Linked DNA regions of Ovis aries. The protein of the gene in region 3 interacts with the protein of the main gene of each other region in a pairwise test. Links are inferred from orthologs where the notes say so. Each region holds a gene or a part of one and is shown on either strand. Other genes may lie near its edges.

Evidence for each region.
Region 1: the proteins of KIF9 (region 3) and ZBTB8A interact in binary tests that used the Homo sapiens proteins (3 or more experiments, as listed by UniProt). The two-hybrid records come from large-scale screens. The link is inferred for Ovis aries from reciprocal best matches to the Homo sapiens genes KIF9 and ZBTB8A.
Region 2: the proteins of KIF9 (region 3) and PRMT6 interact in a two-hybrid assay, tested with the Homo sapiens proteins (2 studies listed by BioGRID and IntAct). The link is inferred for Ovis aries from reciprocal best matches to the Homo sapiens genes KIF9 and PRMT6.

The regions. Positions count from the first base shown.
Region 1 is NC_056055.1:235,067,214-235,071,499, forward strand, and holds the start of ZBTB8A (zinc finger and BTB domain-containing protein 8A), read right to left. Parts: upstream 2,829-4,286; 5' UTR 2,682-2,828; intron 1-2,681. UniProt on the Homo sapiens protein: May be involved in transcriptional regulation.
Region 2 is NC_056054.1:84,387,545-84,391,599, reverse strand, and holds PRMT6 (protein arginine N-methyltransferase 6), read right to left. Parts: upstream 2,829-4,055; 5' UTR 2,806-2,828; coding exon 1,678-2,805; 3' UTR 529-1,677; downstream 1-528. UniProt on the Homo sapiens protein: Arginine methyltransferase that can catalyze the formation of both omega-N monomethylarginine (MMA) and asymmetrical dimethylarginine (aDMA), with a strong preference for the formation of aDMA.
Region 3 is NC_056072.1:52,384,383-52,387,943, forward strand, and holds part of KIF9 (kinesin-like protein KIF9), read left to right. Parts: intron 1-631; exon of another isoform or gene 632-812; intron 813-1,041; coding exon 1,042-1,110; intron 1,111-1,932; coding exon 1,933-2,037; intron 2,038-3,224; coding exon 3,225-3,280; intron 3,281-3,561. UniProt on the Homo sapiens protein: Essential for normal male fertility and for progressive motility of spermatozoa.

The DNA.
Region 1 (4,286 bases), on a different chromosome or scaffold from region 3:
AAAAAAATAAAAACCATAGTTGAGGAAAGTCAGTGAGACGATGGCATTTAAAGTAAAGTCCAAAGATGGTAAGAGAGTTATTCAGATATCTGGAGGAAGGGTGTTCCAGGCAGATGGAACAACAAACGCAAAGGCTCTGAAGAGAAGCAGGCAAGGAGGTTGGAGAAACATCAAGAGCTGGGGAGGACTTCCCGGGCACTCCTGTGGTTAAGACTCAGTGCTCCCAATGTAAGGGGTATGGGTTGGATCCCGAGTCGGGGAGCTAAAAGAAATGTAGAAAATGGAGGGCTGGGGAGAGTAAGGAAAGACGGAGTCAGAAAGGAACAATAGATTGTGGGGCAGTAGGACATCCCGGGGCTCACCTTGTGGCTCAGCTGGTACAGAATCTCCCTGTAATGCGGGAGACCTGCGTTCAGTCCCTGGGTTGGGAAGATCCCCTGGAGAAGGGAAAGGCTACCCACTCCAGTATTCTGGCCTGGAAAATTTCAAGGACTGTATAGTCCATGGGGTTGCAAAGAGTCGGACACAACTGAGCGACATTCACAGGACATCGTGGGACCAGTTCCTGTGGACTTGGTAGACTCTTTAGGGCCTTGGGCTTTTGGTCTGAGTAAGACGGGGACCCACTGAAGATGAGGAGCCACTGACCAACTCTAAGCAAAAAAGTGACAGGAACTTTCCTCAAGGGGATCAAAACACTCGCACCAAATTCTTTATTATAAACAGATAGGTCACTGAAAAGGTTAAGCCTATTAGACATAAATTCCATTTTATCTAGAAAATAAGATTTAAATGATACAGGATGAATCAAGTATTACCCTATCTTACAAAGTTTGGGGGCTCAAATCATCATCAACAGCAGAGCTGGTGATTTCAAGGCCACAAGATAAGTTCTGGCAGGCTGCTCTCTTTCATGGGGAATTCAGGACTTGAAAGAAGCCAAGGTACTCAGGATGCCCCGGTCTAATATTTCACAGCCTAACCCAAACATGCCCATTTGGCCGGGGGTGGCAGGTTAGATTCTCACTTCCCATTTACCATTTGTGTGGCCAGGGGCACTACCAGGAATAAAGGTATCTGATTCCTGGTTATACTCTGCCTGACAGCCCTTCAGTGAAGGGCTCTTGCTCCAGGGGTCCCACAAATTCAAGCCTTATCTGAGACTCGGGGAAGATTAGAGAGGAAGTTTTGAGCCTAAGGTTTATTCTGCTGAGGATTTTAGACTTGTTTCTGATAAGATCGGTTAAGGGCTTTAGAGCATGGGAATGATATGACTTGCTTACTTAAAGAATATGGAGGTGACTTTAGGAGGAAATGAAGAGCAAGAACAGGAGGCAAGGGCGCTGGAAGCCTGCCACTGTTCACCTCCTGGCTTAACGTTTAAATGCTTAATGCGTTTCCTCACCTAGAAAGTGGAAAAACCACCGGCCTGACTAGATGGTTGTTTTATGCGAAAATAAGTGAAATAATTCATATAGGCGAAAGCACTCCATTTACTAAAGTTCTTCAAATATAGAGGCTTATTAAGAACAGAAGTAATACTGATGTGCGTAGTTTAAAAGCCCAATAGGTGAGAATCTACCGCTTGCAAACGCATTTTGTACTAAGCCTAACATAAGGTTATATGTCTACTATATTTCAATTTTAAAAGAAAAACGAAAGCCGGGGGCGGGGGGGAACCGCCTTTGAAAGATACAGAACCTGGCTACTGGCACAATCAATAATAAATAAGCGCATTTGAAGGCGAAGGTGCCAAACCGCTATTAACTTACAAAAGATGCCGTCTACATGGGCAGAAGGTGCGTATGTGTGAGTCCGTCATAAAACAGTAATTACAGCACAATATTAGTTAGGTATAGTAAGTCTGCTTGGGTTCTAAGCCCGGATCTGTCGCGTCACGATATAAAACCAAAGGATGGAAGATGTACGGAGAAACTCGGACTCCTGGCCGCAAGTGACAAGCCCCAGACCTCGGCCGCCCCATCCGGCGGGCCACCCATCACTGGCCGCGCAGCCCGAGCCCCGCCGGCCGCCGACCCTCCGGGAGTCTGCGGCGCCCGACGGCTCCAGACACGCCCGGCACCGGCCCCGCGCCGCCTTCCCGCCACCGCCGCCAGGAGGCTCCGCGCGCCTTCCCGCCTTTCCCCGCGCCACGGCCGGGCCGGGCCGGGCGGCCAGGCGGGCGCGGCGCTCGGCGGGGGCGGTCGGGCGGGCGCGGGCGGCGACGGCGCGGCCATTGTCCCGCAGCCCCTCCCGGGCGCGCAGGCGGACAGGGCCGGGCGGCAGGGCGGGCGCGGCGGCCGCGCAGTCCGGGAACCGGTGCGCCCCGCCGCCGCCGCCCGCCTCTCCTCGCCGGCCACCGCAGCGAGGCCAGGTTCTCGGCGCCGGCCGCCCGGCCGCGCCTCCTTTGTGACCGTCTCCAGCCCCTCAGACCGGCGCGCCACCGCCGCTGCGCCCGGGGCTGCAAATGGCGCCCGCTCGCCTCTGCGCCTCCCGCCGCTCTCCCAGCCCGGGGACGTCTGGGGGCGCAGCGCCCGGGCCGTATCCCGCCGCCACCGCCCGGGGAGCAAAGCCCGCGGCGCCTTCGCCCGCGCCTCCGCCCGCAGCGAGGCTTGCGGGCCCGTGCGAGGCTGCCCCGACGCCCCGCCCGCCCTCCGCCCGCGCGGCGCGCAGCCACTTACCGCGGGCCGCGGCGCAACGGCGGGTCGCGCGCGCGGGCTGGGGGGAAGATTCCCGGTTCTCGGCGGGGGAAATTCCCCCTTTCGAAGCCGTTCCTTTGCGCCCCAAAACAAGTAGCCCCAACGTGAGAGAAACAAAAGGTATTTGCTGACGTGGGCGTTGGACAGAAACGCCCGAGGGCTGGGGACACAATTAAAGGGGCAACGCACAGATTTCAGGCACCAACCAGCAGCTTCGCCCACTCCCCCTGCCCTTCCCTACACCCCGCTGCACGCTCCAGAGGCGCTGGGGTGCCCAGATCCCCGAGCAGTTGGCTACGGAATCATTATTTAGTCAGGAGCTTAAATTTTAAATTGTACTTTACGTTGGGAAAGGCGCCTCCGGAGGGCAGAAGGGCTGGATTTCTAGGATCTGGGGAATTTGGTTTAGGAAAGAGGGAGGGACTTAGGCGTGCCCACAATTACTGTATAAGTACATGTGACATTATTGTACTTAAGTTTAGCAGCGTCAAATGGAAGAGATCTGTACAGAATTTTTCCTTTTATTGAGGCACTCATTTTAGTCGGGGATACCTTTTCTAAACCTCTACAGGTCACAAGCATTGCATTTTCTTTGAAGAGGCTAACTCAAGAAGCTGAGATAAGAGAAAATAATTCTTGGTTAAGTTCAAAGAAAATAAAAAACTAGTAAGAATAGCAGATTTTGTGTTTTCAAATACAAAAATTCATTGTAGATCAAGTCTTTCTTCTGACATATTTATGTCCCTAATATTCAGAGTTCAGACGTCAGATTATGTATTTGCTAAAATCTTTATAATCACTGAATTTTCATTGTTACTATAGAAACAATTTTATAAATTAGTTTTCTAGTTCCTTATGTTGGAGTAAAGTACTGAAAAGTTCTGTGATATAGTAAAACAAACAAGACTCAAAATTTCAAAATATTTAGTCTTTGATGGACTTCTCTCATGTCATATTCAGTTATACTGGACAAAGTTTGTTACTTTGGTTTCATCATAATTAATTATGTGCTTTGAGGACCATATTCTCTACTAGAAGGGCTTCCTTAGGAGCACAGTGGTAAAGAATGTTCCTACAATGCAGGGGATGCAGTTTTGATCCCTAGGTGGGGAAGATCCCCTGGAGAAGGAAATGACAACCCACTCCAGTATTCTTGCCTAGGCAATCTCATGGACAGGGGATCTTGGCAGGCTACAGTTCATAGGATACAAAACACAACTATCTCTTAATATCACTTCTATATTACTCTCCAGTTATTTTGCTATTTAGTTCCATTTCCTCACATCATTCTGCACAGATCATTAAAAATGTGTTTGAAAACCATTAGGTATCAGGAATGTTGAATGTACTCAGACTATTTTACTAGCATCCCCATTGATAATTCTCCTAGATAGACCTGGGCATTGTTATAGAAAAGATTTTGGTGTTTTTTTTTTTTTTTTTTAGCTTTAATTGAAACTTGCAAAAGAGTTCTACAAACTTGTTCCTCAGTAGAGCACATCAGATTAGTGATAAACTCTTCGTTGCAAGAAAGAAATCAGTTCAGTTCAGTTCAGTTGCTCAGTCGTGTGACTCTTCGCGACCCCA
Region 2 (4,055 bases), on a different chromosome or scaffold from region 3:
ACAGTGGAATTCACTCAAAACTGTACACTAAAATGCTAATAAATGTTCAACATAAAATATAGTTGACTTTAACATAAGGAACCAATTTGTAACTCTAGTTTAAACCAGGCCTAAATTGCTATGACTGTACCATTTGCATAAGCTAACTATCCTAATACCAACAGTGGTGACAACTATAAATGTATTGCAAGTCAAGGATCTTGTAAAGCTGATGATTTTGTACATGTATAGTTCCCTTACTAATGGCAGATCTCATGTGTTGATACCAAATTTTAGCAAATTAGTTATATTTAAGTATATTAATAAGTGATGAATAAAGAAGAAAAAACTGTTGCAACAGAGCTGCTTCAGATCAGATTTTCACACCTGCTTTCTATTAGCATACTAAAGCTACTAGTGTAAAGAAACCATACATTAAGCATAGTTGATTATCCTTAAGCTATGCTCTGTAGGGGTTATAACACCATTTTTAAGAACAATACTAAAAAGGCAAAAGTTATAACTCAAACAGTACACAAGACTTCTTACTTCATCTATAAAAATAGAGAATGCCAGTGCTTTATTTGCCAGAGATGAGGAGGGAAACATGGGTAAAATAAATTTGATAACATAACTCACATTACAAATGATTTTCCTAAATTCACAACTTTCACATTTAGCTGACCTAAATAAACAGAAAACAAACAAAACACTAACAAAAACATTTTCACTTGATGTTAGTAGGCCAAATCACATGATCCCCCTGAATGAGGGATTTTAATTCTCGAGCTGGGAAAATATTTTCCTTACTTAAATAATTTACCCAAGGTGATAAATAAACCCTTGGACCAAGTTCAGAAGAAATCGCCTCTACTAGTTTGTTATAAAGCACACAAAATTTTTACTATGGAACTTACATGAAATTTTCTTGGTTAAATCTTAACAGTAAAGACAAAAAGTCCATACGACTTTACTGTATTTCAGGTCTTTTTCTCCAACACGTACCCTTCTAGATTTCTTAGGTATGCTGTACTAGTACGAATGAAGTTTATTTCACTTAATGGAGTAAGGTGTCATCAACTTTAGCATCTTAAGGAAGTAGGTGTTATTTAAACTTTACCCTCATTCACCTCCCCCACGTTATCAGTAGTAAAACTTATTAAAAAAAGAGGACAAAATACTGTAGTCTAGAGGCACCTGGGAAGAGAGGGAATTCAGAAAATGAGAGAATATGGCTCTGGAGTGATATCCCGTCTTATTGGAAATACATGGAGTCTAACTATAAACCCTTTTTCCCTTTCCCTGGCTTTAGACTTAGGGTGTGAGGTGTCAGGGAAGTGAATGGAACCTTCACAAACTGATAATTTCATACCCTTTTCCCCCTTTAATTTACAAGAAACAAAAGAAATAGAAAAAGGAGTGCTTGGTACCACGTGCTTTTGAGGTTTAACGGGCCCTTAATAAACACGCTGTTTCGGTCGTGTCAGGGGATCGAAAACACTTTTTAATAAATATCGCCAGAAGAATCTCCACGAAGCGAGACTGAAGTCACTCTCCCTCCCCAGGAGCCCTGGGGTAAAGGGAGACGGAAGATAACGCTCCCTACTTGCACGTGAAATCTCCTTTACTCCGCCGACCAACCCTCCGCCTCTTCCGTGCCTGGCTTCCTTGGGAGGTAGCTGGGAGAGAAGACCACGCTCAGTCCTCCATGGCAAAGTCTTTGGTCTTTTCCTCCTGGTCGCCCACTTTGTAGCGCAACAGCACCCGCAGGTGACGGTGGTGGTCCTGGGAGGGCAGCAGCGTGATCTCTCCGGAAACATCCGTGTCTTGCTCCACTTGCACCGGCTCGTTCAGGTAGAGGAGCGCCTGCTTCCAGTGCGTGACGGGGTGAAAAGGCGAGGTGGAGAGCACCACGGGTTTCTCCGAGTCCCCTCCGGGGAAGGTCACCTGGAACCAGATGGCAAAGCCGTGCAAGGGAGCCGAGCCGTAGCAGCTGAAGCGGAAGCGACCGCCCACCCCGGCCTCCAGCTCCTGCTCCAGGCCGGCGCGGGCCAGCTCTAGCCGAGCAAAGCACTGCGGCCGGGCCAGCACATCCTCGCCGGAGAGGCCTTGCACCACGATTTCTGAGTGGCCCATGAGGCAGCGCGTGGCGAAGCTCTCCAGGCAGCTCATGTCCACGCCGTAGAGTTGCTTCATCTGGCTCCAGAAGCTTAGGCGCAACTCCAGCATCTGGTCGCTGATGGGCGCCACGAAGAGCTCGGCGGAAGCCGGCAGGAGAAGACCGCCCTCCTTCAGCCACTTGGTCCGCGCGTGGAGCACAGAGCTCAGCATGGACTCGTGCAGAAGTCCGCAGCCCATCCACTCGCTCACGATGGCATCCACCTGCTCCGGCAACTCCACCGTCTCCACCGGTCCCGGCAGGACGTGCACCCGGTCCTCCAGCCCGTTGAGCCGCACCACTTCCCGGGCCTGTTGCCAGATGTCGCTGGCCTCCACCGCGTACACGCGCCGGGCCCCTGCCTGGGCACAGAAGATGCTGAGGATGCCGGTGCCCGCGCCCACGTCCAGCACGGTCTTGCCTCTCAGCGCTGCCCAGTTCCGCAGGATGCCCAGGCGGTAGGCATCGGTGCGGACGCGGTCGGCAATCATCTCCTCGTGGACCGATACGTCCGAGTAGCACTGGTAGTACAGCTGGTCCCGCTCCCGCCTAGTCCTCCGGGGTCGCGGCACAGCCACCTCCAACTCTCCGCCATCTTCCTCTTCAGTTCCCTCCCCTCCTTCGCCGCCGCCCCCCGACTCAAGCTTTCTTCTCTTGGGCTGCGACATCTTGGCGGCTTGGGCCGACTCCCGGCGTGCGTTGCGCGCCGCGCCTCGGGCTCCAGGAAGCGGGGCCTTATGGTAGTTGTAGTGCGCGCTCGTGCCTCCCGGTTTTGGCAGGTCGCCGGGCGAATGTCAGCCAGATACCAATGATCCGTACTCTGCTCTTTTTCTTGCTCCTTTGGTGTCTTGGAATCCCTTTTCCATCCCCTGCACTCACATTCCATGGTTCTCTACGTTCCTTCTCCTTCCCTTAGATTGTTCAGTCTCTTTTGCTTTCACGCCCTTCGTGACGTGGACACGCCCACTTAAAACTGAAAATCCATGTTTTGTTTTGTCCAACTCCCAGATTTTTTATTATATAGAATTTTCTGGGCGGCACCGTGCACACCCTACTGCCTCATCTGGACAGTTGCAACTCTTAAAGCTCTCCAAAAGTGGAGATTTGGAAAATGCACTACGTGTTTTTCTTCTCCGTTTTCAGGGGAGGTAGAATGCAAAAGGGAGAAGGCAGCGTCACCCCACTCCAGTACCCTTGCCTGGAAAATCCCATGGACGGAGAAGCCTGGTAGGCTGCAGTCCATGGGGTCGCTAGGAGTTGGACACAACTGAGCGACTTCACTTTCAATTTTCACTTTCATGCATTGGAGAAGGAAATGGCAACCCACTCCAGTATTCTTGCCTGGAGAATCCCAGGGACTGGGGAGCCTGGTAGGCTACTGTCTATGGGGTCGCACAGAGTCAGACACGACTGAAGCGACTTAGCAGCAGAATGCAAAAGTGTAAATGAAACAAAGTAAAAACCCAACAGTGTAAAACCCTGGTCTGGATTCCAGTGGGACCACAAATGAACGGAATGATTAGGGCAAGCTGTGTAAGTACTCTTGCCTTCAATTACCCATGCACCTTCCAGCAACAAAGAATCTTCAAGGCAGTTGAAAATTAAGTTTCTGTTCTCTATTTTAGGAGATTAGTTATTTGGCTCTTAGTTCTGCCCGGTAATTCTGTGACTCATTCAAGGCTTAAATCTTGGAAACTTCCAGTCTGAGGAATAGTTGAAAAGCAACTGTTGCTAGGTGTATTCTGGTAGCTGATTTTTTTCCCTCCATAGGTAACGGAATCCTTCATCACCTGTGATCATTTCTCTGCTTCAACTCACTTTTTCCTGCCTGTTTCCATGTCTGGGCTAGATTGGTAATCCTTTTTTCCTCTTCTGTGTTCCTTTTAGTCAACTATCAGCTGTTAACCTCTTCCCTCTG
Region 3 (3,561 bases):
AACTAGAGCAAGATTTTTAAAAAGCGTGGTGTGAGAGTGGGAGGGGATTGCAGTTTTACATGGGGTAACTGAGGGGTGCCTAATTTAGCAGTGTTTGAACAGAGACTTGAGGAAGGTGAGCTATGCGAATACCTGGGAGAAGCATGTCCCAGGCAGAGGGGACAGGCAGCACAGAGGCAGGAGCGTGCTCATTTGGTGGGAGTGGCATGAGCAGGGGCAGAAGCGTAGACAAGGAGTAATGGGGCAGATCACAGCGCATTGCTGCTGCTGCTGCTGAGTCGCTTCAGTCGTGTCCGACTCTGTGCAACCCCATAGACGGCAGGCCACCAGGCTCCCCGGCCCCTGGGATTCTCCAGGCAAGAACACTGGAGTGGGTTGCCATTGCCTTCTGCAATGCATGAAAGTGAAAAGTGAAAGTGAAGTCATTCAGTCATGTCTGACTCTTCGCGATCCCATGGACTGCAGCCTACCAGGCTCCTCCGTCCATGGGATTTTCCAGGCAAGGGTACTGGAGTGGGGTGCCATCGCCTTCTCTGACATAGCGCATAGGTCACTGTTATCCTACACAAAGATGTAAGAGCAAAGTGTTCTGCAGCATTGTTTATAGCAGCAATAAATGGAGGTGGCATACCTGTCAGTGCGGAATGGTGATGCTTTGTGTAGTGGCTGGAGAGGATGAGGGTGACATCCTGGAGGCACAGGCTGCATGGAGAGGGCAGTGACCGTGGTGGATTGAAGTATGCTGGAGCTTCTGGAGTTGGGCTTTAGGGTGGTCCTAGTGGAGCCCATACTGACTCTGTTCTCAGTCTTCCCTGCAAGTAAGAGGCAAAGGACAGAGAAGTGCTGAAACCCCTTCAAACCCTAAACTCACCCAGTTGGGGAAAAGTCACCAGCTGGGAGGGAATCATCCAAATGTTGAGATCACACTCCATAGATTGCCTGCAAGGGCCAGGATGTCCAAGGACAGGGTGGGGAATTATTAAGTGGCTTCTCTGACTGTCCTCCTTGCTACCCCCGCCTCCCCATATGCTTCCCTGGCAGAGAATGGTCAAGAACCTGGAGAAGGAGCTAGCACTGCTCAAGCAGGAACTAGCCATCCATGACAGCCTGGTAAGGGGCTAGAGGTGATGGGCGGAATACTAGAGGGACTGGGGTCAGGGTACCAAGTGGGCAGAAGGACTAGGTGGGAGGGGGCAGTGGGTCAGGGCAGGGGTGGATCAGAGGGTGGGCTGGGTGAGCAGAGGGACTGGGTGGACAGGGGGCCCAGGGGCTGAGTAGACAGGGGACTGGGGGAACAGAGACTGTGGGGGCAGAAGGCCTGGGGGATCAGGGATGCCTGTTGGGCAGAGACTCTGGAAGAACAAGATGTGGGCAGGGCTGTCAGATGGTCAGGGAGCAGAGCCAGGCAGTAGGCAGGGGGATGAAGGGCAGGGGCCACAGGCCTGGCAGGTATGGGTACAGAGGCAGACAGCCTGATGACGGCTCAAGGTCAGGGAGGTGGACAGGCTGGATGGTTATTAGGGGCAGCAGGGAGTTGGAAGGTAGGGGTGGGGAGCAGGAGACCTCCAGTGCTGGTCTGAGCTCATGCTCATGGTCCAGAGGGTCTCAAGGCAGAGGCGCCCCCTCCCTCCTGTGGCCCTCATCCCACAGTCTGCTGAGGCTCAGCCAGCAGAGCCCCCCAGATTGGAGGAGCAGGCCCTTGTCTGGCAGCCTTTCCTTCCCTACCCCACCTGGTTGTCCCGTGCTGACCCGACTACCTGGCCTGTGAGTGAGGCCCTCCCTACCAGGACATGGTGATGAAGGGAGTAAAGTGGCTTGGGTAGCCAGGCTCTCTGCCCAGCCTCCCCACTTTGGTCCTCAGAATGGTCCCTGCCACCCTGCTTGGGCTCGGGTGCTTGGAGCTTAACAGTACGTTCCTCTTCCTTCTCCAAGGCCAACCGTACCCTCGTGAACTATGACCCTATGGATGAAATCCAGATTGCGGAGATCAACTCCCAGGTGCGAAGGTACCTGGAGGGAACACTGGAAGAGATTGACGTAAGGAGCCCTTCAGGACCCCCATGTCTGGCTGGCCCGGGCCTGTCTCCCGGCCACACCATGATGTATGCTGTGCTAGCCTGGGAACCTCACTGAGAGGGTGCAGTGGGTATAGCGTAGGTGGTGCTGGACTCCTGGCCTCAGGGCCCTTCAGCCCACTGAGGCCACAGCATCCATGTTTAGGGTCGCAAGGCTGTGGGTGCCCCACAGCCTTGAACACAGGGGAGGTGGTCCAAGCCTTGAATACAGTGGGGGTGGTCCATTACGGGGCCACCAGTACAGCTCCTAGAGCCAAGCTGCTCTGGGTCGAACCTCAGAGCTCAGCAGTCTCCCTGCTGAGTGGCATCATGAAAATGCTCAAGCTCGTGTACTCTGGTGGTCTGACCTGTACGGTAGGGAGGGAAACGGGCTGGGATGAACTGAGAGGCAGCACCTCAGGGGCTTGTCTGTGGCAGCAGAGGGGGGACATTAAAGGATGATGGTCATGCTGGTTGTCTACAAGGTGGACCCCTCTAGGGCCCATGCTGGAGTGGGCCAAGGAGGAATAGAGTAGCCACAAAGGGAAGGCTCTCAGGGGGAGAGAGGCATTCTGTTTTCAGAGCACAGGCTGGCAGGCCTCTCATCAGGGGTTCACGGCCAGAGCCTTGTCCAGCCTGTCATCGTCAGCAGCTGCCAGAGGCAGGCCTGGGACAGCTGAGGGCTCTTCTGGTCTTTCTAGGAAGGGCAGCCCCAGAATGACCGTCAAGGCTAATGCTAGAGGGCAATGGGGTCAAGAGAGGCCGATGGTCTCCCCTTTAGCCACAGGTGTGTGTATGTGTCTGGGCCCACACAGAATGGTTCATAATGGACCCTTTTGGAAGCAGGAGAGAGCTGAGGACAGTTAATTTTATTTAGATGTTTTCTTAGTACCTTCAAGAACTAGAGTCATTTCAATTTTATATATATCTTCAGTCAGAAAAGGTGATTTTTTTTTAATAGCTTCAATAAATAGCTTCCAAATTACTAATCAAGGGTTTCTCTGTTCTTGAGGAGGGCTTTACTGGCACTTTGCTGAGAGGGTGTTGGTACATGTCCCCTTCTTGAGACACATGGTCCAAGGCTTAGTCAAGGGGTCCTGATTTCTCTACAGACACAGCCTTAGTCCTGTGGTGCCCCTGGTCTAACCTCTGCCTTGCTCTCCTCTCCAGATAATCAACCTCAGACAGATCCAGGAGGTGTTCAACCAGTTCCGGATGGTGCTGAGGTAAGGGAGCCACCACACCCACCCAGTCCTGCATCAGGCTGCCATTCTCCTTTCCCATGGTCTGGGTGCTGGCCTCCAGGCGCTCTGCCTTCTGTCTGGTGTGCGCGGAGCTGGATCAGAGGCCTCTGGGTATGGCAGCCCTGGGTGATCCCAGCAGTCTGCCTCTGAGCTCTCAGGTCCTCCTACCCTCCCCTTCCTCTGGAAGTGGGGACAGCCCCCCTTTTAAGGGCTAAGCAGAGAGGAGGCAGTCCCTGGTTTCCTGAGTTTGTTCACTGGACAGG